Regions from separate parts of the Mus musculus genome. Here all the other regions are reported to be linked to region 5. The links are microRNA targets in miRTarBase. Many come from high-throughput screens and were not tested one by one. Region 5 holds a microRNA gene; each other region holds the end of a gene's coding sequence. Distances are from middle to middle.
What was found. Region 5 holds the annotated microRNA mmu-miR-324-3p (CCACUGCCCCAGGUGCUGCU, at 1,457-1,476, opposite strand). A microRNA usually pairs through its seed, bases 2 to 8, with sites in the 3' UTR of a target mRNA and lowers its output. Matches are read on the target gene's strand: a 7mer-m8 pairs with bases 2 to 8, a 7mer-A1 pairs with bases 2 to 7 and ends in A, and an 8mer does both.

Region 1 (4,065 bases), not on the chromosome of region 5:
CAAGGGAGCGGAGCAGAAGTAGGGACAGGAGCAGAAGAGTGCGGTCCAGAAGCCACGACAGAGATCGCAGCAGAAGCAAGGAGTACCATAGATACAGAGAACAGGAGTATAGGAGAAGAGGAAGGTCACGAAGCCGGGATCGAAGAACGCCAGGACGATCGAGAAGTAAAGATAGGAGGAGAAGAAGGAGGGATTCCCGGAGCTCAGAGAGAGAAGAAAGTCAAAGTAGAAACAAAGATAAATATAGAAGCCAAGAAAGTAAGAGTTCACACAGAAAAGAAAATTCTGAGGGTGAGAAAAGAACGTACTCTAAAAGTCGTGATCATAATAGCTCAAGTAATAACAGGGAAAAAAAGGCTGATAGAGAGCAAAGTCCAGTGTCAAAAACAAAGCAAAGCAGTCAGGACAATGAAGTGAAGTCCTCCACATTAAAAAATCAAGAGGACGAAAAGACCAGATCCCCGGTGGAAAAAGAAAACCAAAAATCAAAGGGTCAAGAAAATGACCATGTACATGACAAAAATAAAAAATGTGATCATGAATCAAGCCCTGGAACAGATGAAGACAAAAGTGGATGAGTGAGTTGTGTACTCTTAATTCCTTCCTGTCTCAAATTTTCAGTTTTTAAGACTTACTGTTGAACCTCCCTTTTTTATTGTTTTCATTGTTTTGGAGTTGTTTATGTTTGTCTCCCCCCACCCCCTTTTTTTTTTTAAATGTGGACTTCATTGAGTTGATCTTTTGATAATCTGCTACCTGGATAATTTGTACTGCTAAAGTTTTAATAAACTTGAAATGAAAAGAAAAACAACACTTTGGTGTAATACTGTGTGCTATGTTAAATTCTTATGTATTCATTTTTGTGTTGCAACCGTCAATAGCAGCCTACTTTGCTTAATCAGCCATTTGGAAACAAGCTTAACTGTTGGTTGCAGTACATTGTTGTATAGGCTTGTGTTTCTTTTGATACAAATCCCTTTAGAAACCACTTGAAGTTTTGTATAGCTTTTTGGGCTTTGATTTTTCATTTATAATTCATGGGCTTAGAGCAGTTTCCTTAACTAACAGAAGCAGGATCCTTATGTGATCTTAAACCTTCATTTGATTTTACAGTTATTTGTACTTTAGTTACTTTTTTTGTGCTTTATACCTTATACTTTACAATTCCAGCTGTAGCTTGTTTCTTAATATTGTCCACGTTGCTCTGCGAGCTATAAAAATGAGGTGAGTGCTGTTTTCAGTTCATGTGCTGATTGAGCTTGAGTTGCTGTTATACAGCATTTGACAGAAATTAGACCTTGGAAGACCAGACTGTAATTTTCAATTCTTTGTTGCTTTTGGTGTGAAGAGCTGAAATTGTTGCTTTTTAAGAACATGTTATTACCTTTTTCTACAATTTAAAAAATGCATTTCTCATTAAAACATACTACTTGTGTAGATCCTTCTTAAGCTAGACAGATTCTAAAAAGCGTTAGTATTGGAAATAAGATTTCCCTATTTTGGCTATTAGCCTATATCACATTGAGTGGTAATTCTGCATGATTTGGGTTTGTTTTTTGTTTTTTTTTTTTTAAACTTGGACTAACTTCTCTGATTCTCATAGCTGTGAATATGAAATGTCAAGAAGATGCATCTTTCTATATATGTACCATGATAGGCTGTGTAGCATGTTTGTGACTCTGGTTTCTTTCTATTCAGATGGCTTTAGACCAGTTTACTGTTAACATTATTTTAACTTGGCATGTATAACATTGCCATATAAAGTAGAATAGAAAGTTGCAAAATATGATACCGTGCAGAGTTAAACACTAAACATATCCAAAGTCCATTCAGAATTTTGTGTGTTGTATTTTGCTATTTTTTTGTGATGTGTGGCCTTTTATTCTGTAATATCCTTCTAAATAAAACATTGAACATCCAGCAAACACAAAACCTGCCTCATTTGAGAAATATTTCAAAAATCCAATTAATAGTAGCCTTTAGGACGTTTTTGTACTCTAATATTTGTCAGTATAGTGTCAGCTCTTACCAAGGTAGCTTCTTGGTAAACCCACTAGCTTTTCAATGATATTTGTACTGAATAAAGTGATGCTTAATATACTTCCCATTATTGATTACTATGGTAAGATATATTTGGCATTGTAGCTGGTACAGAATGAAGAGTGCAGTGATTATAAAGCTATTTGGAACATCCTAAAGCAAATACCCACAATGGATTCTTTACAAATAGTTTTTCTTGATGGGAATAGTTAATATATACGTGATCTGTTACATGTCTTAAAAAGTTGATTATGTCTTAAATTCAGTTGTGTTTTAAAATATATCCCAAACTACCTGATCTTTAAGAAAGGAATTTCAACAAACATTTTAAAATCCATACTTTTTTTAAGTAAAATTACTTTTTTTTTCTTATCTAGAGCTTTTACTTGTTAGCATATACATTATAAACAAGAACTTTCCAGTTCTTTAGGAAAGTAAACATGGGAGAAAATTGGTAATGTCTGTAATATCCTCCAAGAGAGCAGCTCAGAGCTGAGCATTTACGGGCTCCCCCAACTCCTGCTTTGTTAGTTTGTTATTTTTTTCAATATGACAGATAATGGGGTAAATAGTTGAGAAAAGACAATCTAGATTTTTTTTTCAGAATAAATAATTAACAGCATTAATTGTACCCCAAGATTCACAGTTATCAATTGCACAAAGCCCAAATTCTTGTTCTAGTAGATTTTTAGTTATTTGTACATCATATTCCCAAAACTATTTCCCATTTCAATTTTCCCATCACATTGGCTTTCTAAGAATATCTAAATTTACAGCTAATGAATAGTTTTTAATACCCCTTGAAAGTACTTTCACTTGTTTTTATTGCTTGACTCCAAAGCTGAGGAAATTATTTCAGTATGTAAGACTTTGATGATTATTGTATGAATTATTGTTCTGGATAAGTTGTTTACCACAGAAATTGACACTACAAAGAGATCGTTAGAGAAAGTAAAGCTACTGTATTGTACTGCATTGTAGCTGATACAGAATGGTTACTTGCTGTAAAGACAAGACTGTCTGGGAACAGCTATCCAACGTTTAAAGTGCTCTTTCACTTAAAAGTTATGCTAATCTGCTAGCTTTCTTTGCCCCAGTGTGATCCAGCTGCTCACTGGCTTTGCTTGCATCCAGTGGTAGGTGTCAAACCAAGAACCTTTATGTTCTGGATAGGCACATGCTGGGGTTCTGGTATTTTGGGTAATAGTATTAACTACTGCTCCTACTTTATTTTCTAGTGACTACTTAGAGCAGTTAGTATAATTGATCCTTTGTTCCATGTGTTAATAGCTTTCATCATGGAACCTTTTACAGCAAATTTCTGTAAATTTCCCAGAAAGGACTTAGACTTAACTGATTGGTATAAAAAACTAAATGAGCATTTTTCATTCTTTTGTTTCTATTTACTGTAATTATTCCCTGTAGGGTTTATGCATTTACAGTTGACAAACTCTCTGTGTAGTTTGAGAAACTTTAATTGTAAGAATATATTTTTAAACTAATTGTTTTTAAAAATAAAGTATCCCAAGGAAACTGAGTGTTGATTGCCATTACTGCCTGCAGTGGGCTTCTCAATGTCTTGAAGGGATTCACCTGCTGTGTGACAAATAAACAACAAATCACATTCATTTAAAAAAAAAAAAAAGGCCGCACAGGCCAAAGAGGAAGAAGTGTTAAGGTTTTACTCATTTGCTCTCCCTGACTCACCCCTAGTACTGGAGGATGGAAGGGCATTCATTGGTTTGTATTTCTGTCTGGTTTTGGTTTTCTTTTATAGACAATTCCATGTTACTAAAAGCACATTCTCTGTATTTCTGCCCCACCCTCTTTGTGTGTTTATAGTATTTTTGAAAGATTGACACATAAATTGGGTATTTCTATGGAATCTTGAGGTGTGGCTGCTCTCTGTGGAAGGGGAAAGCATAATTAGGTTAATGCACTTCTTTTCCTAGCTCCACAGTCACTGTGATGTATATTTTTTTAATGGAATTTAGAAAACTTGTTTTCTCAATTGTAAAATTAGTT
Region 2 (4,059 bases), not on the chromosome of region 5:
CCATGTGGATGAGCATCTGTAGCTAATTCCGTAGACCTTTTGTGTTCACAACACAACTACAAGTGAAGTTGGGCAAATCCGCAGTATGCTGAGCAGTCAGGCCCCCTGTCGTGCCCCAGCCCTGCCCAGCTTTGCTGTTGCCTGTAGGTACAATCAGCTGCCCTTGATGAGATGTTCCAGCACCGAGAGGGCTGTGTACCGAGATATCACAAAGCCCTGCTATTGCTGGAGGGGTTGCAGCACACTCTCACGGACCAGGCAGACATTGAGAACATTGCCAAATGTGAGTGCCTTTCCGGAGCTTAAGTGGGGGTGGTAGGTGTGGCCTCCCTGTCTCATGCTCTCTCCTCCACAGGCAAGCTGTGCATTGAGAGGAGACTCTCGGCCCTGCTGAGTGGTGTCTATGCCTGACTACCTGCTGCCAACCTGCAGGGTAGGGTCTGAGACCTGGCAGACTGTCCTCAACACTGATCAGATCCGATGGTGCTGAGACTGCTGCCAGCCAACTCCAGCAGGGATGCTCCACAGTGGACCTGTGCAGACTGGTGCAACTCTTGCTTCCTAGACTGCCAGTCTCTGCTGGCAGGTAGACATCAGAGTGCCAGGGGTCCCTTGCCCACTGGGACAGGAGTTTCTGAACATATTCTTCCTAGCTGGCTCCCTGGCAAGCAGGTATGGTGCCGAGAAGTGGCACCTGCCACCTGAAGAGCCCATGGCAGCCCTGTGTCAGGCAAGGGCCTGAGACCGTTGCTGACTCCAAGCCAAAGCAAGCTTTTCCTCACAGTTCACTTGCCCCATTGCTTGTCCAAGAAAAAAGGGTATGGTCTTCTGGCCCCCTGTTCTCTCTAGGAACTTCTCCCTCTGAGACTACTTACCCAGCTTTGTAAGTCACCGGAGCACTTTATGCATACAGAGACTGGAGAACCTAGCCAGCAGTGCAGACTGCTGGGAACCTGCCTCCTGTTCCTGGCTTTCGTCCTCCAAGACGCTGTATAGATGCAGACCACATCTTTGTGTATAAAAAGCCCAGTGTTCACCTCCTCCTGTGTCTGGTCTTTGGAGGAAAGCAACAGGCTTGCCTCCTGAGGGAGAGATAGTCCTCACGTTTAAATGTTCATTAGGGACAGACAGTTCATTGTGTGAAGCACCACCCATGCTTGTTAAAACTCCTCAACTTCCACACTTTACTCCTAAGATGTGTCTCCACCCTCCCAACTCAGTTTTTGTTCATAAAAGGAAACTTCAGATGTTTAAGGATTGAAAGGGCGGAGGCAGGGCAGGCCAGGTATCACACTGGATGTTGTCCTTGTAGGAGACGGTGCCCGCTGTGTGGCTGAGGCTGTAGCATGTGCCAGAGCGAGTGTGCTGCTGGCTATCTCTATTAACTTTCCCTGGAAGGGCGGCAGAAAAGGCAGTGCCCAGGTGCCGTCCTCCCTGTGCAGTGGAGGTGTGGGTGAAGAATAACATATGCAAACATGTCCCCTGTGGAGCTTTCCTGTCAGTCTGGCTCCTGTGCTTGGTGGCCTTCAGGATCTGTGCTGAAGCTCGTCTTCCAGGCTCCAGGGTGGACACATGCTAATACCTTCCCAGCCTCCCTGACCTGCCAGTCCTTTGTCACGGCTCTGTTCATGCATACTTGAAAGTATCTGAGTGTCCACAAGCTGATGTGGGGTTTCAGAGTTATAGGCCACACACACACACACACACACACGTTTTTCTTTGCAATACTTGAAATATTGCCACTGTGCTTGGTTGTACAAGAGTTGTACAAGAAAGCAGATCTCTAAGACCAGTCTCTTCCTTAGTCACCCTATGACCTCCCTTGCATGTAACATGTTGTATTTATTGCTTTGTGGCCAACTGGAACCCAGAGCCACCAGGGAGGCTAGTGCAGGGATTCCTGACCCACCACCTGGTTCCTGAAAGGCTCCTGGGTGGCTGTGTGTGTGTGTGGCTGGCTGTGTGTGGTATGAGCCAAACCTGCTCATGAAAGCAGTGCTCAGGCCTGTCAATTTTAAGATGAATTTTGTGAGTCTCCCCCTTTTGTGTTTCACTGTGTCATATCAGTTTAAGAAAATAAAAATTGGAATTATTTATGTGGTGTCAATTTCATCCTGGGGTGCCACTGTCCCTCCAGGAGCCGGGTGTGCCTTCAGGTCTGTCTGGGCAGGTTGCCTGTGTCCCCCAGCCAGATTGAGTCCAGTAGTACTTCACGGTGCCGGTGGTGTGGTGGCTTGCTCAGCACCGGAAGCAAGCCTCAGTTTGATCCAGGGATAGCTGGGTGGGTTCATTGTATCACCCAGGAAACAACAGTTCCCACTGGGTCAGGTGAGGATCCAGAGAGGGTGGGGCAATTCTCCAGGCCCCCTAGAGTGGAGCATCATTGATAATGAACCTTCCCCATTTTGAGAGACAGGGTCTTTGATTCCTAGGCTCAGATGATCTTCTGTTCTCTGCCTCAGACTTCATAGCAGGGACTGTCGGGCACCCCATTGCACCTGGCTTCACTTGTCATTTTATTCTAAACTTTAGCAAGTATGCTCTGAGGTGCAGTTTCCCAGCACTAATCTTCTATAAACCATTGGCCACTCTGTATGCTTTATTTGTTCCAATCCTCTGTGCTCTCCAGCCCCTTAAGTCAGGCTCTCTATAGTCTAGGCAGGCTGCAAACATGCTATGTTCAACAACCAATCCTGCTTTTAGGTGTTGGAATCACAGATGTATATCACTGTGCCTGGTTTTACTTTGCCTATGCTACACACATTTGGGTTTTTTGTTTTTCTCAGAAAACTTCCTTGATCTGCCTGTGGTTCCCTTTGCTTGCTCTGGCATTGGTATCCCAAGCAAACATCTAGATGTAATGCTTTCATCTTACATCTGTATTATCTTCGCAGGATAAAAATTATTAGGTATAGTAATACCTATATATCATAGTAAACTAATCCAAGATATCACATGTTCATGGAGTCCATGTTTTATTTTTATGCCCTGTTGAGACATTGTTTCAGGTGTCAGTGGTTAAAAGGTTTTATTTATTTTATATATAGTAAATACACTGTAACTGTCTTCGGACACACCCACCGCACGAGGACTTCAGATCCCATTACAGACGCTTGTAAGCCACCGTGTGGTTGCTGAGAATTGAATTCATGCATGACCCTTGGGAGAGCAGTCAGAGCCTGCCAGATAGTTTAACTCACTAGCTGTGGTTGGCTTTGAACTCCCAATCCTGCCACACCCTGCCCAGTGCATGGAATGCAGGCATGGTGTTACCACGCCTGGAGCAGTTTTAGGTTTATAGAGAGACATGGGGAGGTCCTGTTTTTCCTTCTTGCAGCTGATAATTCTTGTTAGCATCTTTGGGTTTGGTGCTACAGTAGACCAAGAGCCTCACGTGCTATGCGAGTGTTTCACTATTGTGCTATATCTGTAGACCCTTAACTATTTTGTATGTGTGTGTGTCTGTGCACTTAGGTGCAGGCACTGGAGAAAGTCAGGAGAGGCTGTTGCATCCCTCTGTGCTGAAGTTAAGAGATTTTTATGATCTGATGTGTGCGCTGAGGTCTGAACTCTGGTCCCTGTGATGAGGCATTTCGCTGTCCCTTTCTATGAGACAGAATCTGGTGAAATTTATGCTGGCTTTGAACTTTTGATTGTTCTGCCACAGCCTCCCCATTACTAACCTGACACCCGCGCCACCACACCCAGACAAACCAGGATACTTGAACAGTGATGTGCCACTGTCACTGCAGTACAGAACTGAGTGCTGTCTTGTAACTCCCGTTCGGCCTGATCATTCTCTTGAACCCTGACCCTGGGATTTCTTTAGAAAATATTGAACATCTATGTTCATATGACTGTGCTGGGGTGGATACATAGTGGAGTCCTGGAGTGGACCTGGCTGACTGGTTGAGGTACAAGGTTCCCTGCGACCTGAACAGTGATCAGAGTGACTGTGAGGCAAGGAGGCGGTTCAGTTCTACAGAACTCAGTAGCCATTGTTGGTTTGAACTTCTGGAGTCTGACAACACGTGGTTTCTTTTAGGCATGTACAAGCAT
Region 3 (4,065 bases), not on the chromosome of region 5:
GTGTTGTGGAGCTGGTGTACATTTTAGCTTTATGCCACAGAAAGGTGCTTGCTCTATCTAGATTTGTTAATCTAGTACAAATGAGATCATCTGTGGCCATTGCTCTGCCCAGAGCCATCATAGATAGACATACAATACAAACACAGTAAGTAAAGGGCTTTGGTGGTTTGTAGCCTCCAGTGCAGCCTTGCCCTTGGGAATGGGGTGAGGTAACACTGCTGTTCCCTCCTGTCTCACCTCACCTGTTCTGTCTCCCGACCATCCCGTTCACGCCCATCTCTCACTAGGGCCTCTCGCTTGTTCCTCTATATCTTCCTACAGGCTCCAACACCTATGAAGATGCAGCTGCCTACATCCAAACACAGTTTGAAAGCAAAAACCGCTCACCCAACAAAGAAATTTACTGTCACATGACTTGTGCCACAGACACGAATAATATCCAGGTGGTATTCGACGCCGTCACCGACATCATCATTGCCAACAATCTCCGGGGCTGCGGCTTGTACTGACCTCTTGTCCTGTATAGCAACCTATTTGGTAATTCCAGCACTCACAGAACAGCTTGTGCACACACACACATACACGCGCACACACACACATACATGCGCGTGCACACACACACACACCACTAACCAGTGCAAGTTGGTAAATAAACTTTAAAGAGGCATAACGTAACCTTATCTATACACAAGTATATATTAGAAAAATGTTTTTAGTTAATACTCAAAAGAGCTGCGGACAGACTGACCACCATCCCTGGCTCATCAGTTTTCCTGGGACAGCACATGAGCATGCACACATGTGCATGCACACACTCACACAGGGCATGGTGGGAGCCTGGGTTGGCAATCCTTCCTCTAGATATCCCCAGGGCTATGAGCAGGGCAGGCAGAGGGAGACCTGGTTCTCGACAGCAGCCCCCAAACCCCCTGCATCCTAATACAAGGCTACCTGCTCAATTCTGCCCTGCTCCTTCCCAAATTCCAAAACCATTTAAGAAACGGCCAACACTCAAAACATCCCCCTACCCTCTAGCCACAACAGAGAACTCTTAAGGACCCTTCTCTCTTGGGTGGTGGTTGTTTATTTCAGGAATCTAGAAGAATCATTGCTCCGATCAATCCACTGTCTCCTGAGTTTTCTTTATTCATGGGAACAGGGGAAAATTAGGGAGATGGGAGACCTGGTCTGCTTTCTCAAATAATTGAGGGGAGGGGATGTGTGAGCCATTGCCCAAGCTCACCTAGAGTTTAAGCCAGATTCCCTTGAAGAGGCCCATGGATGAGGTGTGAGCGGTTGGGGAGGGCTGGACTGGCAGACCAGGCTAGAAGCAAGGTACAAGGCAGGGCTGGGCTTCCCCTACTGCGGGCTCCCCACTGTGCCCCACCACCTGCACTAGTTAAATGTTCTAGGTTGGTTGGTTGGTTGGTTGGTTTGTAAAGTCAAAGAAAATGGTCAGACTGGCCCCTATCTCTCTCTCTACAGACTGCTTCATGGACTCTTTGCTGTTGATGTTGATCTCCTGGTAGCATGACCTTTGGCCTTTGTAAGACACACAGCCTTTCTGTACCAAGCCCCTGTCTAACCTACGACCCCAGAGTGACTGACGGCTGTGTATTTCTGTAGAATGCTGTAGAATACAGTTTTAGTTGAGTCTTTACATTTAGAACTTGAAAGGATTTTAAAAAACAAAACAAAAACCATTTCTCATGTGCTTTGTAGCTTTAAAAGAAAAAAGGAAAACTCACCATTTAATCCATATTTCCTTTTTATTTTGAAGTTTAAAAAAAAAATGTCTGTACCCACACCCTCCCCCTTCCCCACCTCAGCAGAACTGGGGCTGGCACACAGAGGCAGTGCTGGGCCTGGCGCCTCCCAGGGCTTCTGTGCAGCCCATGGCTGGTGGGAACATGTCAGGCTAGTCTGTCTAGAAGGCCACTGGCCACTGTACCCACCCTTCCCCATGCCTGTGGGCTGCCCAGACACCTCATATACCACCAGGCAGTGGCAGCTCCGCCCTGCTCAGCCACGCGACTCCAAACACACTCAAAGTTTGCGTAGAAAAAGCACAGCTCTGGCAGGGGTAGCTGCCACAGACAACGCTCATCACCTATAGAAATCCAGCCCTATAGAAGCAATTCACCCAGCCCCTTCCTACACTCCCTTTGTGTTGTTAACTTTTTGGTTTTTCTGGTCCTAGTGAGTGCCTCCCATGCATACCTGACCAGCTCTGCCAGTGTCTGGGGTCTGGGGAACAGGGGTTGTGTGGTTTGGTTTTTGTTTTTGTTTTTCCTTTAACATCACAGCCTCTGGCCTTGGGCAGAAGCCCTCCCCTGTGTGTGGCCCCCTCTCCTCTCTGTTCCAGTGACCTGTGTTCCCTCGCTCTCATGTTGGGATGTTTGTGCTGCAGATAAAAAGAACAAAAAAAATAAAGTTTTTAAATACCACAAGATGGAAGAAAAACAAAAAAAAAATTAAAAAGATGGAATGTAGTGTTTACATTAAAGCCAGTTTTCATGATCAGTCCCATGTCATTTCTACTTGACTAGTATCTAACCCCAGACCTGTTCATGGTTTCACTTTTAAGACAATATTTACTGAAGACCAGTCACAGCCATTTCAATAAAGGAGGCGAAAGACAAAACACAAAAAATTTAAAAATACAGAAAAAAAAAACTTGAAAAAAGGAAAAAAGTAAAAAAAAAAAAATAAAAATAAAAAGCCCACGGGTCTTTGTAAGCCTTTCTATTCCCAACGGTGAGGTTTCTGTGACACCTGACACTGCCAGCCTACTTCTCTAATGGATTCCTGTGTAGCTCAATAAAGAGAATGTTTGTCTGTACCAAGTCTCACCTTCTGCCTTCCAGACGATCGTCCCTGGGGTGGGCTTCAATCTGACAGGAGACAATTGGCCACATACCCTGGGAGGGTGGTGGGTCAGGAATTTCTCCACAGGATTGTCTAGGTCCCTCAACATTTTGTCACTGAGGGGAGACAGTTCAGTAGCACAGTAATTGAGGAAACTGTCTTTCCTCTTTCCCCTCAGCCCCCTCTCTCCTGTCTCTCATGTGTGCATGTGTGTGCTCTTGCAGGCACATTTATACACACACACACACACACACACACACGCATACACAAACAGGAATGAGAGCAGGAAGATGGGCATCTTCTTTTGGCTGCAACTCCTCCAGCACATCTGGTTTTATGGTTCCCAGTGACCTGAGACTGGGGCAGGAAACAGGGAGAAACAAGCCCGGCCGCCCCTCCCGTCTTCCATGGCCAGGGCTTTCTCTCCAAGAGGAAAACAGGTGCTTCCAAGGAGCTCAAACCGCCCCAGCCTTCTGCACACCCACTGTGATGCCAAAGGACAAGCTCAGCCCAAAGACTCTCCTGAAGGCTTCTCCTTGGCTTTGCTTGTCCCACTGCTGCTAGGTCCAAGGGTCTCAGCAGGTGAGGCACATGGGAAGCAAGACAAAACAGCTTGGCTCTCAGAGTCTGAGCTTTTCAGCCAGTGATCTCTCTATGACCTCTCAAACTATGTGGCTTTGCATAAGAACTAGCAAATGGATTGCGACTGGGCCTACCAAAATGCCTCACACCACAGGCCAATCATTAGGCAAGCAGCTAAGGGCATGTTCTGTATCAGTGTAATGGGGAAACCTTACAAGGTCTATTAATGAAATCCTATCCCAACAGCACCCCACGTGGAAATTCTTAGCTCAGAAGACACATGTCATAGCCTTTGGTCATTTGAACCCAGCATGGTGTATGTGTGAAGGTGTAGACACAAAACTGTTTCAGACCAAGTCTAATGGTCCTGTCCCCAGCTGTCATGGGTACCTGGTAAATGCTGGCACACCCAGAAGGCTCTTCCACCAAGCCACACCTCTTTTCCAGTGGCTTCCTTACCAACTGCCTTCACTTGCTGAATACAGAGGGAACCACTCAACCTCCAACCAATCTACACCTTGACTGTTATATCAGACGACAAACCAAGATCCCAACGGCAGGCCAAAGGTGAACACGACCAGACCAGTCTGGATTTCTCTCAAAGTGAGTTCTAGC
Region 4 (4,062 bases), 190 kb from region 5:
CCTTTGCCGCCCTCTATTACAAGCGGGACCGGCGCCAGGAGCTGCGGTGCCGGAGGCTTAGCCCACCAGGAGGCTCAGGCTCAGGTGTGCCTGGTGGGGGCCCCCTGCTTCCCACTGCTGGCCGTGAGCTACCCCCGGAGGAGGAGCTAGTATCGCTGCAGCTGAAGCGGGGTGGTGGTGTTGGGGCGGACCCTGCTGAGGCCCTGCGCCCTGCCTGTCCACCCGACTATACCCTGGCCTTGCGCCGGGCACCGGACGATGTGCCTCTCTTGGCCCCCGGGGCCCTAACCCTGCTGCCTAGTGGCCTGGGGCCCCCGCCCCCGCCCCCACCCCCTTCTCTCCATCCCTTTGGGCCCTTCCCACCCCCACCCCCTACTGCTACCAGCCACAACAACACGCTACCCCATCCCCACTCCACCACTCGGGTATAGGGGGCGGCTTTGGGAGGTCTGCCTCCCTAGCCCTCCCAGCCCAGGCCACTTGAAGGCAGGGAGGAGGACTTGGCACCGGGCTTTGCCCCCGTGGATTTGTCAGACTTCGTGGAGCAGTGTTAAGGTGGACATGGGATTCCTCACTGGGAAGAGAGTTTTTCCCATGCAGAGAGCCCCATTATCTCCTCTGGACCTGGGCCTTCGAACACCTGGGGGGTATTTTTTGCCCTCCGTTGGGACACCAGTCTTCGGTGTGTGGAAATGTGGAAGTCCTTTTGCCCATGTGAAGACATGCTTTCCTCAGGGGGGGGGGGTGTTTTCCCATGTGCAGGGTGAGGTTTGTTTGGTTTTTTTGTTTTTGGTTGGTTGGTTGGGTTTTTTTTTGTTTTTGTTTTATTCGGGGGGGGGGGTTGTTTGTTTGTTTGTTTGTTTTGCCGCCCTGGACACATGTTTGCCTCCTCCAAGAATTTCTGCGGGGATTTGTATCCCATGCCTTCGTCTTCTCCTCCCCGTCCAACTCCCTGGAGACCCTGGAAGTGATGTGTGCACATCCGGTGACCCTTGGCCACCAGACAATACAGGGAGGTACCTGGGGAGCAGCTAGGAAATCACAGGCCCCCTGGACCCCGCTCCCCACCCACCCCTGAATAGCATGTTTCTCCCCCATGGCACAAGGCAGGTGAAGCCCGTGCTCCCTGGAAGCCCTCACCTTCCACAGACAACAGAGATTTCCTGCTAGAGGAAAGGGGGAATCTCTGTGCATCCCAGCGCTGCCTGGAAACTTACCTTCCCACGGCCCAGGACGCATTTCATCGAATGGAAACATGTTCTTGCATGTGGATGTGTGTTTCCCAGGCAGAGGGTCCTGCGCCCCCCAGCACTCCCCTGCCCTCTCCCACACCTCAGGTCCAGCGCACACTTCCTCCTTGCATAGCAGGTGGGAGCAGACTTCTAATGGACAGAAGCCACGTGGGAAGTAGAGACTTGGAGGGAGACGCCGAGGTGGGAGGATGGGGGGCATGGCACATGTCACACAAGAGGCCATGCATGTTTAACCTAAGCCCTCAAGGGGGCCTGAGGACAGCCTTTTCCTCAGTCCTTGAGATCATTGCTCATCCGTGCCAAACTGGGTAGATGGGTTGGGAGACTCTCAAAATGTGCCAAGGATCCCCTACGTTCTAGTCCAGGGAAGGGAAACGCCAGGAGCAGGTGGCAGCTAAGGTGGTCCCCCGCAACCCTCCCACTTGTGTCTCACCCCCATGTCATTTCTCCTTCTCTGCCTTGGTTCCTCTTTCTCCATCACTGGCTCCTTCTTTGATGCTCTCTCCCCATCTCAGGGTCAGACCAGCCTTCTCTCTTTACCTTCTTTAACCTGTCTCCCCTCCCTGGTTGGTTGAGTTGAAGAAGAAGAAAGAAAGCTGAGGAGAGGGGGAAGGGAGGAGTCAGGGAAAAAGGTTACATGGACAGGCTGGGGAAGAGAATGAGGTCAGCCGTACCAAGGAGCAGATGGAGGGGCTGTGGGGGACAGGGCAGACACCAGCAGGAAGATTTTGAAAGGAAATATGGGGAGCAGCTGCCTAGAGGTCTTTGGATTTGGACCTCTTGGGGAAAAGAACGCTGTCAGGAAGGGTTTTAAGGGACACCAGTGGAGGTGTGGCTGAATCTTCATGTATTGTTTGGCTTTCTGAGGGATGTTAGTGCCAAACTTGTATAGGAGTGGGGTGCTGTCTTCCACTGACACCCAGGTCCAGAATCCTTGGTCTTGAGCCCCTGTCCTTTCTCCATCCCCCATGGAAATGTAGTTCTTTTCTGGCCCTTTCCCCTGCCTGGTCTAGCAACTCTTGGAACAGCCATGCCTTCCAAAAGCTATCAACCTGGGCCCTGAGCCCTGTAAGCAGATGCCCCAGAGCTGGGGTGTGAGAGAGGGGCTGGGGGACCCCACGATACAGCCACGGACTCCAATGCCCGGCCCCTTTCCAAATAATCCCATGCCCCCACCCCAACCCTTTGCGGCTCTGTACACATTTTTAAACCTGGCAAAAGATGAAGAGAATATTGTAAATATAAAAGTTTAACTGTTGGTTGTGTTGTCTCCTGTCGTGTTAGAAGGTAGGTGGAGGGTGGAGAGGGTACCCAGCTCTGGTTGTACCTGTCTTGTTAGAAGGGGGTGGGAAGAAGTGCCCAACCCTTTTCAGAAAATAACTCTTAAGATCTGAGGAGAAATGGCAAAGGGAAAAGTCTCCATCCTGACGGGATTGGATGGTTAAGATAGAGACCAGGATGGGATTGGATGGTTAACATAGAGACCAGGATGGACAAATAGTCAGAAACACTTATAATCATAGCATTCAGGCCACTGCGGGGGGTGGGGTGGGGCAGGAACTCAAGACCAGCCTGAGCTAAATACGAGATCCCATCTTTAAAATAAAAGTGCTGGCTGGGCAGTGTTGGCACATGCCTTTAATCCCAGCACACGGGAGGCAGAGGCAGGCTGATCTCTTGAGTTTGAGGCCAGCCTGGTCTACAAAGTGAGTTCCAGGACAGCCAGGGATACACAGAGAAACCCTGTCTTGAAAATAACAACAAAAAAGATAAAAATGTTGGACATGGTGTATGTTGTAATTCTAGGACTGGAGTAGTAATGACAGGGAACACGGGAGTTCAAGGTCACTCCTGCCTACATAGAAAGTTTGAGGCCATCTTAGGCTACATGAGACCCTGTCTCAAGTCAAACAAAACAAAACAAAAGGTCAGCAACTATGTTTGTGTGGTCCAGGGCCTGGTGCTTTAGAAGACATAAAAACTGATGAGGGCAGATGCCCAATAGATTAGAAAGCCAGTGTGTTCACCCAGGAGGCTGGCTCTAAGAAAGGATGCAAAGAAAGGGTCTGGCTCCTGCCGAGGCCTGGGCTAAGGCTGGGGGGGGGGGGCAACCCTGGGCCTTGCACCTTGAGAGTATCATCTTAGCACATTATGAGGGAAAGCCCCAACCTCATTGTGACCCGGTCACTCTCAGGACTTTCTGGGTCAGACTGGCAGGCTAGTGGGCATTAGGGGTAGTGGGCTGGGGGCCTAAGGGCCCTGGTGGCCCTAGGGACCACCATGGCCATGGCTGAGCGGCCTCGGCCTGGGTGGGCCTCGTATCAAAACCCCAACATCAACAACTGCCAGGACATGGGAAACTCCATTCTGCTGCTCTTGGGTCTTATCGTCTGTATTAACATTGGCATCAATTTGGTGACCCTGGTCAGGGATGGAGGGTGTGGTTGGGGAGGCTGGGTGGGAGGCAGGCCTGGTTCCACGGACCTACCTGTGGTCACCATGTCCTCCTATACCTAGCTCTGGAGCCGAATCCGCATCCTCTTACACCGAATGTTCCATATCATTTGTGAAAAAGGTAAGGAAGGCTAGGGGTTGGGGCCTAGCAGGGGCAGAAACCAAGCGCTCTATTCCACCTGACCCTAAGCTGGCTCCTTAAGACGGAGTTGCAGCTTCTCTTTCAAAGCCCCCACCTCCCATCCATCTCTCTAGAAGCTAGCCTTTCCAACAACCTCACTTCTCCCTACAGAAACCAGTACTTCACTTGGGAAGCTGGTCCAGCCCTTGAGGAAGCAGACCTACCCCAAAGTCC
Region 5 (4,065 bases):
CTTGGCAGAGATTGTGGGCATGCATGACCTTGGTGTTAGCGTTACCCTGGGAGCTCATCAGAGCATCGGTTTCAAAGGCATCTTGCTCTATGGCACAAAGGCCCAGAGAGAAAAATACCTTCCCAGAGTGGCATCTGGTAAGGCAACCTTAAGAGACCCAGGGGTAAGGAGTGTGACACTGCTCACGGTGTTACAAGGAACTGCCTGGGGATGAGGGGGTGCAACTCTGGTGGTCAGGATCCCCAGTGAGCCCGTTCTCTCCCCCACAGGGCAGGCTTTGGCTGCTTTCTGCCTAACAGAGCCCTCGAGTGGATCCGATGTAGCCTCCATCCGAAGCTCAGCCATACCCAGCCCCTGTGGAAAATATTACACTCTCAATGGGAGCAAGATCTGGATCAGGCAATCTTCCGTTTCTCTTCTACCCTTCAGCCCAGTGGCCTGACCCTGCTGCTCTAAACCCTATACTAACCACCTCACTCTTCCACAGTAATGGGGGCCTGGCTGACATTTTCACTGTCTTTGCCAAGACGCCAATTAAAGATGCAGCCACGGGGGCCGTGAAAGAGAAGATCACAGCTTTTGTAGTGGAAAGGAGCTTCGGAGGGGTTACCCAGTGAGTATGGGGCAAAACAGAATCAAGGATGGGGACAGCACTGGGCTCTCAAGAGCAAATAGTCAATACAGGCCACGCTGGGGCTATCTCTGTACAAGAGGCACCCACAGGAGGTGAGCAGTTTTGTTTCCACTGGGGGAACACAGGCTAACAGGCCATAGCTAGATATCCGTAGCCCCTGGGGCACATAGGCAGTGCCCTGTATCCTTTTTATAGTCTGGGGAGTTCTCCCCTGATCATGAGACCCGAAAAGGCCGTTTTCCCCCACAGCAACCTGTTCATACCTCAACTTTCCTGCCCTGCCTTTTCAGTGGGCTCCCTGAAAAGAAGATGGGCATCAAAGCATCTAACACGTCAGAGGTGTACTTTGATGGAGTGAAGGTGCCATCAGAGAATGTGCTAGGAGAGGTGGGAGATGGCTTCAAGGTTGCTGTCAACATCCTCAACAACGGAAGATTCGGGATGGCTGCAACCCTCGCAGGCACCATGAAATCCCTCATTGCCAAGGCGGTGAGTCCCAGCCCAGTCCCTAGCTAGCACATGTCCCTGACTGCCTCAGAGCGCCGACACACACACATGCACACTCGACCATCGGCACAGTTAGGCCTCCAGCCCGTCCAGGTGGAAACTGAAGAACCACAGTGGGGTAACATGCGCCCTCTTGCAGGTTGATCATGCTACTAATCGTACCCAGTTTGGGGACAAAATTCACAACTTTGGGGTGATCCAGGAAAAGCTGGCTCGGATGGCTATTCTGCAGTATGTGACTGAGGTAAGGGCCTCCTGGGCCCCTTCCCTGGAGCCCTATGGCTTTCTTCACAGTTGGGTCAGACTACAACCCCCAGCAGCACCTGGGGCAGTGGGTCTCCAGCTTTACACCAATGCCCTAGGGGATGCGAGGAGGCATAGTCAGTTCTCTTCTGGAGGGTGGTGCTGCTCTGCTAAATGCTGCCCAGATGCACCAAACACGACTTTTAACCCACCCCTTTACAAAGTCGGAAGCCTCGAAGCCCCTGATATACCAGAGGGTCACATATTGGACATATTTGACCTGACCAGGAGGCTAAAGTGAATTCAAGGGTTGGAGGAGTAGATCAGCACTGGTCTTGAAGGTCTGAGCATTAGCCATTCTGTCTGATGCAGCCCTTCCCTGTTGTCTTCCCCATGTCCCGACCATGCTCCCTTAGTCCATGGCTTACATGCTGAGTGCCAACATGGACCAGGGATTCAAAGACTTCCAGATAGAAGCCGCCATCAGCAAAATCTTTTGCTCGGTGAGGACCCAGGTGTGATGGGAGGGCGGAGTCCAGATTAGGACCTCAGCTCAAAAATCCAACTCATCTGGTTCTCTGTCCTCAGGAGGCGGCCTGGAAAGTGGCAGATGAGTGCATCCAAATAATGGGGGGCATGGGCTTCATGAAGGTACAGAGTATTCCTCGGCAGGGGGGGGCATCTGTTCAGAGTGGACAGGCACATCTCAACAGAGGTTTCTGTGTCTTCCTGCGTGCCAGGAACCAGGGGTGGAGCGTGTGCTCCGAGATATTCGAATCTTCCGGATCTTTGAAGGGGCAAATGACATTCTTCGACTGTTTGTGGCTCTGCAAGGCTGTATGGTAAGAGGAAGGAGGATGAGAGAGAGCAGCTGGGGAGGACACTGAGTCCTCACTGTCGCCGTCCCCCTTCTCTCCACAGGACAAAGGAAAGGAACTCACTGGGCTGGGCAATGCCCTGAAGAATCCTTTTGGAAACGTTGGCCTCCTGATGGGAGAAGCAGGCAAACAGCTGAGACGGTACCTCATGGGCCGGGGCCAGGGTCAGAGTCAGGGTCAAACAAGATGGGAGGCCGCAACTGACCAGTCACTCTTCCATCTCCTCTCAGGAGGACAGGAATCGGCAGTGGTTTGAGTCTGTCAGGGATTGTCCACCCAGAGTTAAGTCGCAGTGGTGAACTGGTGAGTGAGCCTTAAAGCAGAGCCTGCGGTGGCTGTGCGCTGCCTTCCTCTCCTGAGCTCTGTCTGTGACTCTTGTCTCTTCAGGCAGTGCAGGCTCTGGATCAATTTGCCACCGTGGTGGAGGCCAAGCTGGTGAAACACAAGAAAGGGATTGTCAGTGAGTGAGCTCTGCAACCCCCTTCCCTCCCTGATTCCCTCCCTCCGACTAACAGCCCCACCCTCATCTACCTGACAGACGAGCAGTTCCTGCTGCAGCGACTGGCGGACGGCGCCATTGACCTCTATGCCATGGTGGTGGTTCTGTCCAGGTAAGGCGGCAGCGAGGGACGCTTGGCAGGCTAGAGCCACAGAGGAGCTGGGCCAACACCAGCACTCAGGATCATTTTAACCTCTGTTTCCTCACAGAGCCTCAAGGTCCCTGAGTGAGGGCTACCCGACGGCACAGCATGAGAAAATGCTCTGTGATAGCTGGTGCATTGAGGTGAGCCTTGGAGCTCCCCAGTACAGGTGGGCCTTGGAGCTCCCCAGTACAGGACGGCCTGACCGTCCCTCCCCTTCCCTCTCCCCAGGCTGCAACTCGGATCCGAGAAAACATGGCCAGTCTGCAGTCCAGCCCTCAGCATCAGGAGCTCTTCCGGAACTTCAGAAGCATCTCCAAGGCCATGGTGGAGAATGGTGGCCTGGTCACCGGTAACCCCCTGGGAATCTGAGACTCCCAATCAGGCCCTGGCAAGGTCATGTGCCTTCTCTGATGCCAAAACCCTTTATGGGGGTGATGGAGTACTTATTGCCTTAACAATAAATTTTCTACCAAGTCACTGTCTGCCGTGAATGTCACTGCTCCCTCCTCTCCACTGCCTGCCTCGCAAAGAAAGGAGCCAGAGGCTTGGGGAGTTGGCCTCTATTTGCTTTATTTGGTGTTTTGTACAAGTGACTAAAATAAATAGAGTAACAAAGGCAGCTACACAGTCCCCAACACACCACCAGCCTCCTTGGACTGCTGTCTGGGGTACCCAGCCCACACCTTCTTCTTCCCAGGGTACCACTGACCACCACCCACCCTCAACATGAGAGCTGACTAGGCACCTGGAGGTGGCGGTCATATTCTGGGGTTAGAAGGGATTCTCCATATAAAAGAGGAACTGTCTATTTAAAAAAATACTCCCCCAAATATAAGAAAGTCTATTTTAACCCCCCAAAAAGCTTATAAAAAATAAAGCTAAAAATAACCAAAGGTCCCCATCTACCCCCGAGGAAGAGGGGGAAGGACCAGGCACTGCTGGTGAGAGTCACAGTGGCAAAAACGTTTTGGTAGGCACCAGCCGCCAGGCTGAGCCCAGGCACTATGAAGGGCACCAGGCTGAAACTTGCCAGGCCAAGGGCACAGACCCAATGTGGCCTCAAGATGGGTCCCTACATAACATCCACAAAAAACTCACTGGGGTTGCCCATGGCCATGTGGAAGCTCTGACGGCTAGCTGTCAGTTCTGGGGGCACGGA
Region 6 (4,065 bases), not on the chromosome of region 5:
TGTAACCTGGCTGGACCTCCCGCCCTGGTGGGCTCCTATGGTACCTCCCCTGAGGGTATCGGAGGCTACATCCATTCCCACCGGCCACTGGGCCCAGGAGAGTTTGAGTCCTTCATCGATGTCTATGCTATCCGGAGTGCGGAGGGTGAGAGAGAACCTGGAAATGTTAGGGGGAGCGGGGTGATGGGGACCCTTGGGAGACAGAGACCAGGGTGGTGGGTGGAGAAACCGCTTAGCTTTTCACAACAAAGTTATCTCTTGGGCAAAAGGAGTTGGGACTGTTGTACCCTGTCCTCACTGCTGGCCTCTCTCCCCAGGGGCCCCCCAGAAGGAGGTGTATTTCATGGGCCTCATTGACATTCTGACACAGTATGATGCCAAGAAGAAAGCAGCTCATGCAGCCAAGACTGTCAAGCACGGGGTGAGGGTTCCCCACAGCCTTTCCTCTCCTGGCCTGACTGTTCTCTGGAAAGAACGCTTCTGGGGTCAGAGTAGTGGGATGGCTGAGGGAAGGCAGTAGGAGGGTGAACTGAGGGGGAGGCGGAGAGCTCCTGTGAGTGACACTGTTCCCTGTTTTTTCTTCTCACAGGCGGGGGCAGAGATCTCCACTGTCCATCCTGAGCAGTATGCTAAGCGATTCCTGGACTTTATTGCCAACATCTTTGCCTAAGAGGCTGCCTGACTCCAGGGTGATTGCGGCTTTATGTTGGAGGTGGCGGGTTCTGAGAGGCTTAGGGGAGCTGGACTTGGCCGTTACTTCTCTTCTTTGCTAAATTCAGGCTGCAGGCTCCTTCCATCCAAATAACTTCCTTCTGGTGGATAGGGTTTTCTCGCCCACCCCAGACATACACTGTCCTTTCTCCCCTTGTCCATTTCTCTGCCCTCCCTCCTTGCTCCCAGTAAGCCCTCCTGCTTCTTTAGAGTGTTATTGTCGACTCTTCTAAGTGCCTTGATCTTTGAAAAATATCTTGTTTCTATGAAATAGGAGGAGCTGGGGGAGGGGTTGTTTGCCATCTTCGGGACCTGACTGAACAGTGGACTTGGCTCAAGCAACTGCCTGGATGCACTTTTGCTGAGTGGAAGAAACTGAATGTCTGGATTTTGCTGATACTTTTATGGGGCACTTTGTGGCATGCTTCCTCCCTGGTAAGCCCTGGAATGGAGGGCTTTCAGGATGCTCCAGATGTGGGTGCAGGCATTCACACATGGACAGTCTGGCCTGGAGGTCAGGTGGGGAGTGGTCAGCAGGCTGGCACCTCACAAGGCAGGACCTAAGCCTAAGCGGACTTTTGTGACTATGCAGATGATGGAGAAGGTCCCTGTGGAGCAACGACTGTTCCCGACTGTTCCCGTTCTCCCACCCCACCCCACCCCACGTCCACCTCTTTCTGTGAGCACTTTGGGTGCAGGAGCCCAGAGGCTAGCGGTGCCCGAGCTTAGGTGCAGGTGTGAGACTCGGGCTGCTCTTCCCACAACCCTGTGCCTTGCTGGTGAGCAGGGAGAGCAGTAGAGGCCGGGACAGGTCGGAGTGCAGGGTTCATTGCCTGGGTGACACCCTTTCTTCCTGTCTCACTACTCCTGGGCTTCTTTCTAGCAGAGGGGAACAGTACCATCTCCATAATTTGGGGAGGATAGAGCTCTCGAGTGAAGGAGCCTCCGCATCCCTGGGGCATGTGTACCTAGAACTCCCCCTCCTTCTCAAAACCCTTTCTGGTTGGAGTTGTTATTCTGTCCCATCTTCCACTGCTAATGTGTCTCCCAGGGGACAGATGGCCTTCTTTGTCATCTCCCCTCTCCGCCCCCAGAGAGGAGTCAGAGCCATAACTCAATCCACCCAGTCCTCTCCAAAGACAGCTGAATATTAATGCACGCCATCCTCAGAATGGAGAGGACCTGCTAGGCATCTTAGCTCTCCCAGCTCGTGCCTGTAAAGCCAGCACTCAGGAGGCTCTGAGAGTTCAAGTCCAGCCTGGGCTACTGAGTGAGACCTGGTCTCAGGAACACTCCAAATAGGTTTGGGTTTGAGCGCTGGAGATCATAGCTGAGTTGGTAGTGTGCTTGCCTAGCATGTACAAAGCTCTGGGATCCACCCCCAGCACCACTTAAGCCAGGCGTGGCGGTGCACGCCTGCACTCCTGGCCCTGGGAAGTAGTGGTAAGCAGGATGGGGCATTCAAGGTCATCGCCAGTTAGTTACTTGACGAGGTTGAGGCCAGCCAAGGAAACAGGAGACCATCTTGGGGAAAATGATTCTAAGGAGAGATAGATTGTCTTTGTCTCTGCCTAAAGCCTTTGGAAGCAAGCCACTCATCTTCGCTGTTTGGCGCTCTGGAGGTGGGGTGGGCATTGAAGGCAAGGAGCTGCTTTGCTGTGTGTCCATGAGGTCCTCAGGGAGAAGCCCACCTCCCTCACCAAAGGAAGCAGCAAGATGGGTGCCCGGTTGGGGTGGGTGGGACCTGCTGAGTCTCCCATCCCTCAAGCAACCTTTCCCCTGTTGAATGCAATAAGTGACTCCGGTCCCTTAACAACTGGGGTCTCACCGTGCGGCTGTGGTCGTGGGCAGTGTTGCCATCTTCACTTACTGCTTCCGTTTTCCATCTGTTTTGTTAATAAAATATGTATATTTACTCCCGATATCACAATAAAATAAATTATTTGATCTAAGTCATTCACAGAAGTTTTTGTTTTTTAAAAAACTGAGTAACCCATCCTATGTTTAAGAGTTACAGAGTCCAACTGAAAAATATTGGTCTTCAAGGTGTTGGGCTCCTGAGTATGTGTGTGTGTGTGTGGGGGGGGGGTGTTCTAAGATGACTGTGGACTTGGAGTTGTGGGGTGGACATGGGAGCGGGAAAATAGTCGCCAACCTTGTGGCGGCCAGAGTGGGAGTGGGATGGTGTGTCTGTCTTCATTATGCTCTTGCTCCTCCATCTGTTAACTTTAGTGGGCCTCTTGGGGTACCAGCTCTGTGGGAAGGAATTCTCTGTTCACGCAGACTTCCTGGGAAAGCTATCTGCTTAGAGGCCAGGAAGAGTCCAGCAGGGTCCTGGGAAAGTGAAGGAGTGACCAGTCCTCCAGTTCAGGGGGGAGGGGATGGAGAGGGGTGGATGACGTGGTTGGTGCTAGTCTGGGAGAGTCAGTACCTCTTCTCTTGGCTGAGGAGGTCTCTTGGCTGGTGGAAAAACCTGGCTTGATGTAGCCCCAGGGAAGTGAGCTGGAGGAGGCGGAGACAGCTCTGACGGGAAGCAGAGCGGAGCAGAGCTTTTTTTCTTTGGGAATTTTTAACTCTATTTGAGCCATGTACTTGACACTAACACCACCCTGAGCCATTTTTAAAGGATCTATCCACCTCACGTTCTGCACAGACCAGTGTCCTTACTTGTGGAAAACTAGTCACCAGCCCACTTCTGGTAACAGGCTGCGAGGGTTGGGGGTGGGGGGGGTCACCGGAGGTAACAGTCTGGAAGGAGGCAAGAGTTGAGGGAGGGGATTGAAGTAGTTTAGTCACAGGGTTTATTTTGTAGTACCAATGTTTTCCTTTTTTTTTTTTAAACTTCCCATCCAACATATTCCAGCGTAAGACTTCAAAAAAATTTCCCTCCCCTTCAATCTATATACCCACCGACACTGCTCCCACCCCTACCAGTTCCTAAGAGTGCAACGCAGTTGGCTGGGAAAGAAGTGGGGAGAGGTCTCCTCCGGGAGGGGGAAGCCAAGAGAGTGGCGTTTCTAAGGGATTTAACCTCCTACCCTCGGCTACATGACGCCACCCCTCCCTCCAAAGACTGGAACTGCGCCTCCATTTTTGTTTTGGGGCAGAGGCAGGGGCTCCCGGGTAGGAGGGGGTCAAAGGAAACGGTGATTATCACCCACCAAGGGGAGGGGTGCTCTCCCTTCCTTTCTCTCGGTCTGCACCCCGGCATCCCCTTCCACCTTCTCAGGGTCTCCCCCCCACCCCCCCGCCCCTTGTTGCTAAGGCCCGGACCGTCATCCCAGCAACAGCCTCAGTCATGTGACCGGCAATGGCGGCGCTGACGAGAGGTAGGTGAGCCCGGCGCCCCCACAC
Region 7 (4,065 bases), not on the chromosome of region 5:
CTTGGCCAAGCTCTGGGGGAGCCTAAGAGCAGGCAGGAAGTGCAGAGAGCTGTGGCTCAGTCAGGTGGGATGGACACTGTGGCGGGGAGCTTTATGGAGGACATCACAAAACTGATGAGATTCTAGTATTGACCTTGGTAATATCATCAAGTGAAAGCAAATTATGCTCTTGCCTCTCTCTTGCCTCTTGCTCCCCCTCTCTTCCTGTTCCCTTTTCCCCTTTCTCTGCCTCTGCTATCTTCTTAACCACCTCCCTACCCCCATTCCCTAAATAAATCTATTTTATACTGAAAAGCAAAGAAAAGCAAACATGTATATGTGCACATCTGTCACATGCAAACAGAGTATGGGGAGAGGAAGGTGAGAGAGATTCTGATTCAAGGCCAGCATCATTAACCAGAGGTTAGAGAGGAAAAATGCCACTTTGGTCAGATATGTTCCTAAGAAGCCAAAATTTGACGAAGGGTTCCATGCTTGGTCTGTAGATAGAAGCTTTGGAGAAGATGAATGAAGATCACATTCAGAAGAACGGGAGGAAAGCAGCCTCGTTTCTGAAAGATGATGGAAGCCCACCTGTGCTGTCTGCCGACTAGTACAGCGGTGACGGACGGCAGCTGCCATAGCCAGCGAGTGGAGGTGACCTGACATACCAAAGCAGGAGTGGACAGTGCTGCTTCTGGGCTTCTCACTTGTGACCCACGTGCCAGATGTGTGCAATTTTTAACTCGGCATTGAAAGAATAAAATGTCACTACCTCTCATCTTACAAAAAGGATAATATAATTCTTTAACAGGTATAGATGTGTAGCCACAGGAGTCTGGATTTTATACAACTCATGATCTGAAGTGTCTAGATGAGGATTTTCACATAGGCAGTGTTTCCAAATGTGGGAGGTGGGGACTGAGGTGTTTGCAGGGGAGGCTCGATGGCTGCGCTCTGCTCCATTCCGCTCGCCTCCTGCTTTCCCTTGCGTCTTTGGGTGGATGTTGCTGTTTTAAATTAGCCCTTCCTAGCTGTTTGACCGTGAGCGTGGAGACCCCAGTGGGTACTAGAAATGGGCACTTGGCCTCAGTGGATGGTGGAAATGGACATAAGCATTTTATTGGTACACCGTAGATGTGTGGAATTCTACATTTCCGTCTCATAGCCAGGAGAGGTGACAGGTTTCTGAAAGATAAATATAAAAGGATTTCTTAACTACATTTTAAAACTTAACTTTCAGGTTTTCTTCATTAGGTTAAATGGTTGGTTATTTACATTTATAATGAGAATACAAAGTATCTGGAAGGGCAGAAGGTAAGAATGGGATCTGCTACATTTTAAGAAGGCAGTGAAACATTTCCGTTTACGTTTCCCCAAATTGTTCACATATTGATTGCTAATCATTTGGAGAGAACTAGAACAAAGTAAGTGGAGCTGTTCAGTAAGTGGAAGACACAGCCTGAACAGCTCAAGTACTGAATTGACCGGCTAACTCGGCTGTGGGCCTCTGCCAGCGTCACACTGGCTGGACTCGGCCTGAGAAGGTGAGCCTTGTTCTGAAGACCAGTGCTTGCTTGCTCTCACCTCATTACCCCAGTTCCGGGAGTTACATTGGATCCACTAACCAGCTTCACTTTCTGTCTGGTTATAAAGAGTAAATGTAATTTATAGTTGAAAAATTTTAACATTATTTTAAATTGCCAAATATGTTCTTTCTCGACTATTTATTTTTGTTTCTGTTCTACTGCTTTAATTGCATTTCAGAGGAGTGAATTTAGGTGGCTCATCCCACTTATGTTTGCTGCTCCACACAAAGATTTAAATGATGAGAAATTATTGGCTGGACACAAATTGCAGAAAAGTCATTAGAAACAATCATTTAAAACTTTGTTTGCTTTCTTCACATATTCTTTCTCAAACCATTGCTTGGAGTGTGCTATGAACTTGCCTTTCAAGAAATTAAAAATGAAGAGATCATTTTAGAATTGGTTCATTGTGTGGTTAATTCTTTGTCCTTATTTTAATGTCCTGGCACCAAGACACCCTTTCTATAGCAAAGTAAGCAGTGCAGTTTTGGTTTGTTTGTTTTGTTTGTTTGTTTGTTTGTTTGTTTGTTTTTCAAGGCAGGGTTTCTCTGTGTAGCCCTGGCTGCCCTGGAACTCACTTTGTAGACCAGGCTGGCCTCGAACTCAGAAATCCGCCTGCCTCTGCCTCCCGAGTGCTGGGATTAAAGGCGTGTGCCACTACGCCCAGCAGCAGTGCAGTTTTAAACACACACACACACAACTTTTGTTTTGAGTTTTACAGGTATCCCCCCCGAAACCCCTTTGTGAAGTCAGGACATTTTTCACATAGCTGGAGATACTAGTTTGATAAATAATCCAGTAAAGTATGTATATAATAGGAATACTTTGTCTTATTTTATTATTGACTGTAAAGATGTATGTATGTATGTATGTATGTATGTATGTTACCGAGCTGGAGAGATGACAGCAGTTAAGAGCACTGACTGCTCTTCCAGAGGTCCTGAGTCCAATTCCCAGCAACTACATGGTGGCTCACAAGCATCTGTAATAGGCTCTGATGCCCTCTTCTGGTGTGTCTGCAGACAGCTACAGTGTACTCACATAAAATAAGTAAATAAATCCTTTAAAAAAAATGTTACCAATGCAAGGGTGATTGGAGAGAATTTCTGTTTCTATAAGATAATTCATTACTAGTTTCCATGATATAAGAATGAGATGCCAGTATTTAGGAGGTAGAGGCAGACAGATCTCTGTAAGTTTGAGGCCAGCCTAGTATATATAATGAATTCCAGGTCAGCCAAGGGTATGTAGACTGTCTCCAAAACAATTACAGCAACAAAAAGTTGAAAGTTAAAACTCTGGATTATGCTTGCACACACCTTTAATCCTGGTAGAGGCATGGAGTGAGGCAGGAGGATTACTACAAGTTTGAGGCCAGCCTCAGATTCTGCCTAAAAAAAAAAAAACAAAATGGATGGACAAAGCAGACTGAAAAAATCAGGCAGCTGATGGGGAGATGTTAAGTAAGGCTGACTCCCTTAGAAGATAGAAACTGTAGTAGTTTGGATGTGACACCCCCCCACCCCGACATCCCAGGCATGCTTGCATGCTTGGTCCCCAATTGGTGGGACTGTTTGGGAAGGATTAGGAGGTGTGGCCATGTTGGAGAAGGTGTGTCACTAGAGGTAGGCTTGGCAGACTGACCATCAGAAGGGAATCCTGCCTGCACATTAAAGTCCCAAGCATTGGTAACACTTGAGAAATACTGGAGATGTCATTCATCTGATTATAGTTTCAAGCCTGAGTTTATGGAGGTATATATTTTTCTATTCGACTTTTGTAGGATCTACATTAAAATTTACTAAGTATTCGAGGTTTGGGGCTGATGAGATGGCTCAGTTGTTAAAGGCTCTTGCCACCAAGTTCATGATCTGAGTTTGATCTCTAGTAGGATTCACCTGGCAGAGTGAGAAAAGACTTTCATGAGAAACAAATTGGCCAGATGGATTAGTCATCCAAAGGCTGACTGGGACTGAAGAGTCTACTTTCAAAGTGGTCTCATTTATCTATGGGAGAGAAAGTTTCACCCATGCTGTCTCAGAGTGATGGGACTCGACATGAACAGGAGGAAAGTACAGCTATTTATTGAATACATACTTTACACAGCACAGAGACTGAAGTTAAACTCTGGATTGTCCTTGCACATACCTTTAATCCTGGCAGATTTTCTCTGAAAACGAAAGATATTCTGAGTTGTTGGACAAAGGCCACTGTGGTGATCTAGAGCAGAATGGCCCGCAAAGGCTCAAGTTTGAATATTCGGCCCACAGTCTGGGAAGGATTAGGTGGTGTGGCCTTGGAGGAGGTGTGCCACTGTGGGTTGGCTTGGGGCTGGGTGTAAAGCTCTCAGCTACTGCTCCAGCATCATGCCTCTGCTTCCTGCCATGATGATCATGGACTAATCCTCTAAGCAAGCTCCCAATTAAATGGTTCCTCTTCTGCGTTGCCTAGGTCATTGTCTCTTTACAGTAACCAAGACAGCCATTGAGTCTGTGAG

Region 1: miRTarBase lists Ppig as a target of mmu-miR-324-3p. Seed matches in the 3' UTR shown: 7mer-A1 at 2,165-2,171.
Region 2: the mRNA of Ulk1 is a reported target of mmu-miR-324-3p. Seed matches in the 3' UTR shown: 7mer-m8 at 1,411-1,417.
Region 3: the mRNA of Gnao1 is a reported target of mmu-miR-324-3p. Seed matches in the 3' UTR shown: 7mer-m8 at 1,853-1,859 and 7mer-m8 at 2,001-2,007.
Region 4: miRTarBase lists Nlgn2 as a target of mmu-miR-324-3p. The part of its 3' UTR that is shown has no 7-base or 8-base seed match.
Region 6: miRTarBase lists Pip4k2c as a target of mmu-miR-324-3p. Seed matches in the 3' UTR shown: 7mer-m8 at 2,558-2,564.
Region 7: miRTarBase lists Riok3 as a target of mmu-miR-324-3p. Seed matches in the 3' UTR shown: 7mer-m8 at 871-877 and 8mer at 1,327-1,334.

Annotation. Positions count from the first base shown.
Region 1 is chr2:69,749,805-69,753,869 of GRCm38, forward strand. Ppig (peptidyl-prolyl isomerase G (cyclophilin G)) reads left to right here. Exons shown (of 14, transcript NM_001081086.1): 14 at 1-4,065. The coding sequence ends at 578. Among named protein-coding and RNA genes, the nearest start is that of Ppig, 29 kb to the left of the region's middle.
Region 2 is chr5:110,782,524-110,786,582 of GRCm38, reverse strand. It overlaps Ulk1 (unc-51 like kinase 1), which reads left to right. Exons shown (of 28, transcript NM_009469.3): 27 at 148-283; 28 at 356-2,094. The coding sequence ends at 411. Among named protein-coding and RNA genes, the nearest start is that of Pus1, 4.0 kb to the right of the region's middle.
Region 3 is chr8:93,966,547-93,970,611 of GRCm38, forward strand. Gnao1 (guanine nucleotide binding protein, alpha O) reads left to right here. Exons shown (of 9, transcript NM_010308.3): 8 at 322-537; 9 at 1,486-2,842. The coding sequence ends at 509. Among named protein-coding and RNA genes, the nearest start is that of Amfr, 44 kb to the right of the region's middle.
Region 4 is chr11:69,821,572-69,825,633 of GRCm38, reverse strand. Nlgn2 (neuroligin 2) reads left to right here. Exons shown (of 8, transcript NM_001364137.1): 8 at 1-2,511. The coding sequence ends at 431. It overlaps Spem1 (sperm maturation 1), which reads left to right and starts at 3,469. Exons shown (of 3, transcript NM_028855.1): 1 at 3,469-3,677; 2 at 3,771-3,828; 3 at 4,000-4,062. The coding sequence starts at 3,534.
Region 5 is chr11:70,009,506-70,013,570 of GRCm38, reverse strand. It overlaps Mir324 (microRNA 324), which reads right to left and starts at 1,528; the gene lies at 1,440-1,528. Dvl2 (dishevelled segment polarity protein 2) reads right to left here. Exons shown (of 15, transcript NM_007888.4): 15 at 3,462-4,065. The coding sequence ends at 3,979. Acadvl (acyl-Coenzyme A dehydrogenase, very long chain) reads left to right here. Exons shown (of 20, transcript NM_017366.3): 7 at 1-137; 8 at 270-399; 9 at 488-613; 10 at 925-1,123; 11 at 1,281-1,385; 12 at 1,801-1,887; 13 at 1,973-2,035; 14 at 2,125-2,226; 15 at 2,306-2,403; 16 at 2,493-2,565; 17 at 2,650-2,722; 18 at 2,801-2,873; 19 at 2,971-3,046; 20 at 3,135-3,388. The coding sequence ends at 3,275.
Region 6 is chr10:127,195,669-127,199,733 of GRCm38, reverse strand. It overlaps Pip4k2c (phosphatidylinositol-5-phosphate 4-kinase, type II, gamma), which reads left to right. Exons shown (of 10, transcript NM_054097.3): 8 at 1-145; 9 at 318-421; 10 at 590-2,667. The coding sequence ends at 670. F420014N23Rik (RIKEN cDNA F420014N23 gene) reads right to left here. Exons shown (of 3, transcript NR_045716.1): 2 at 2,540-2,597. Dtx3 (deltex 3, E3 ubiquitin ligase) reads left to right here and starts at 4,025. Exons shown (of 6, transcript NM_030714.2): 1 at 4,025-4,040.
Region 7 is chr18:12,154,735-12,158,799 of GRCm38, forward strand. It overlaps Riok3 (RIO kinase 3), which reads left to right. Exons shown (of 13, transcript NM_024182.4): 13 at 486-2,633. The coding sequence ends at 593. Among named protein-coding and RNA genes, the nearest start is that of Rmc1, 12 kb to the right of the region's middle.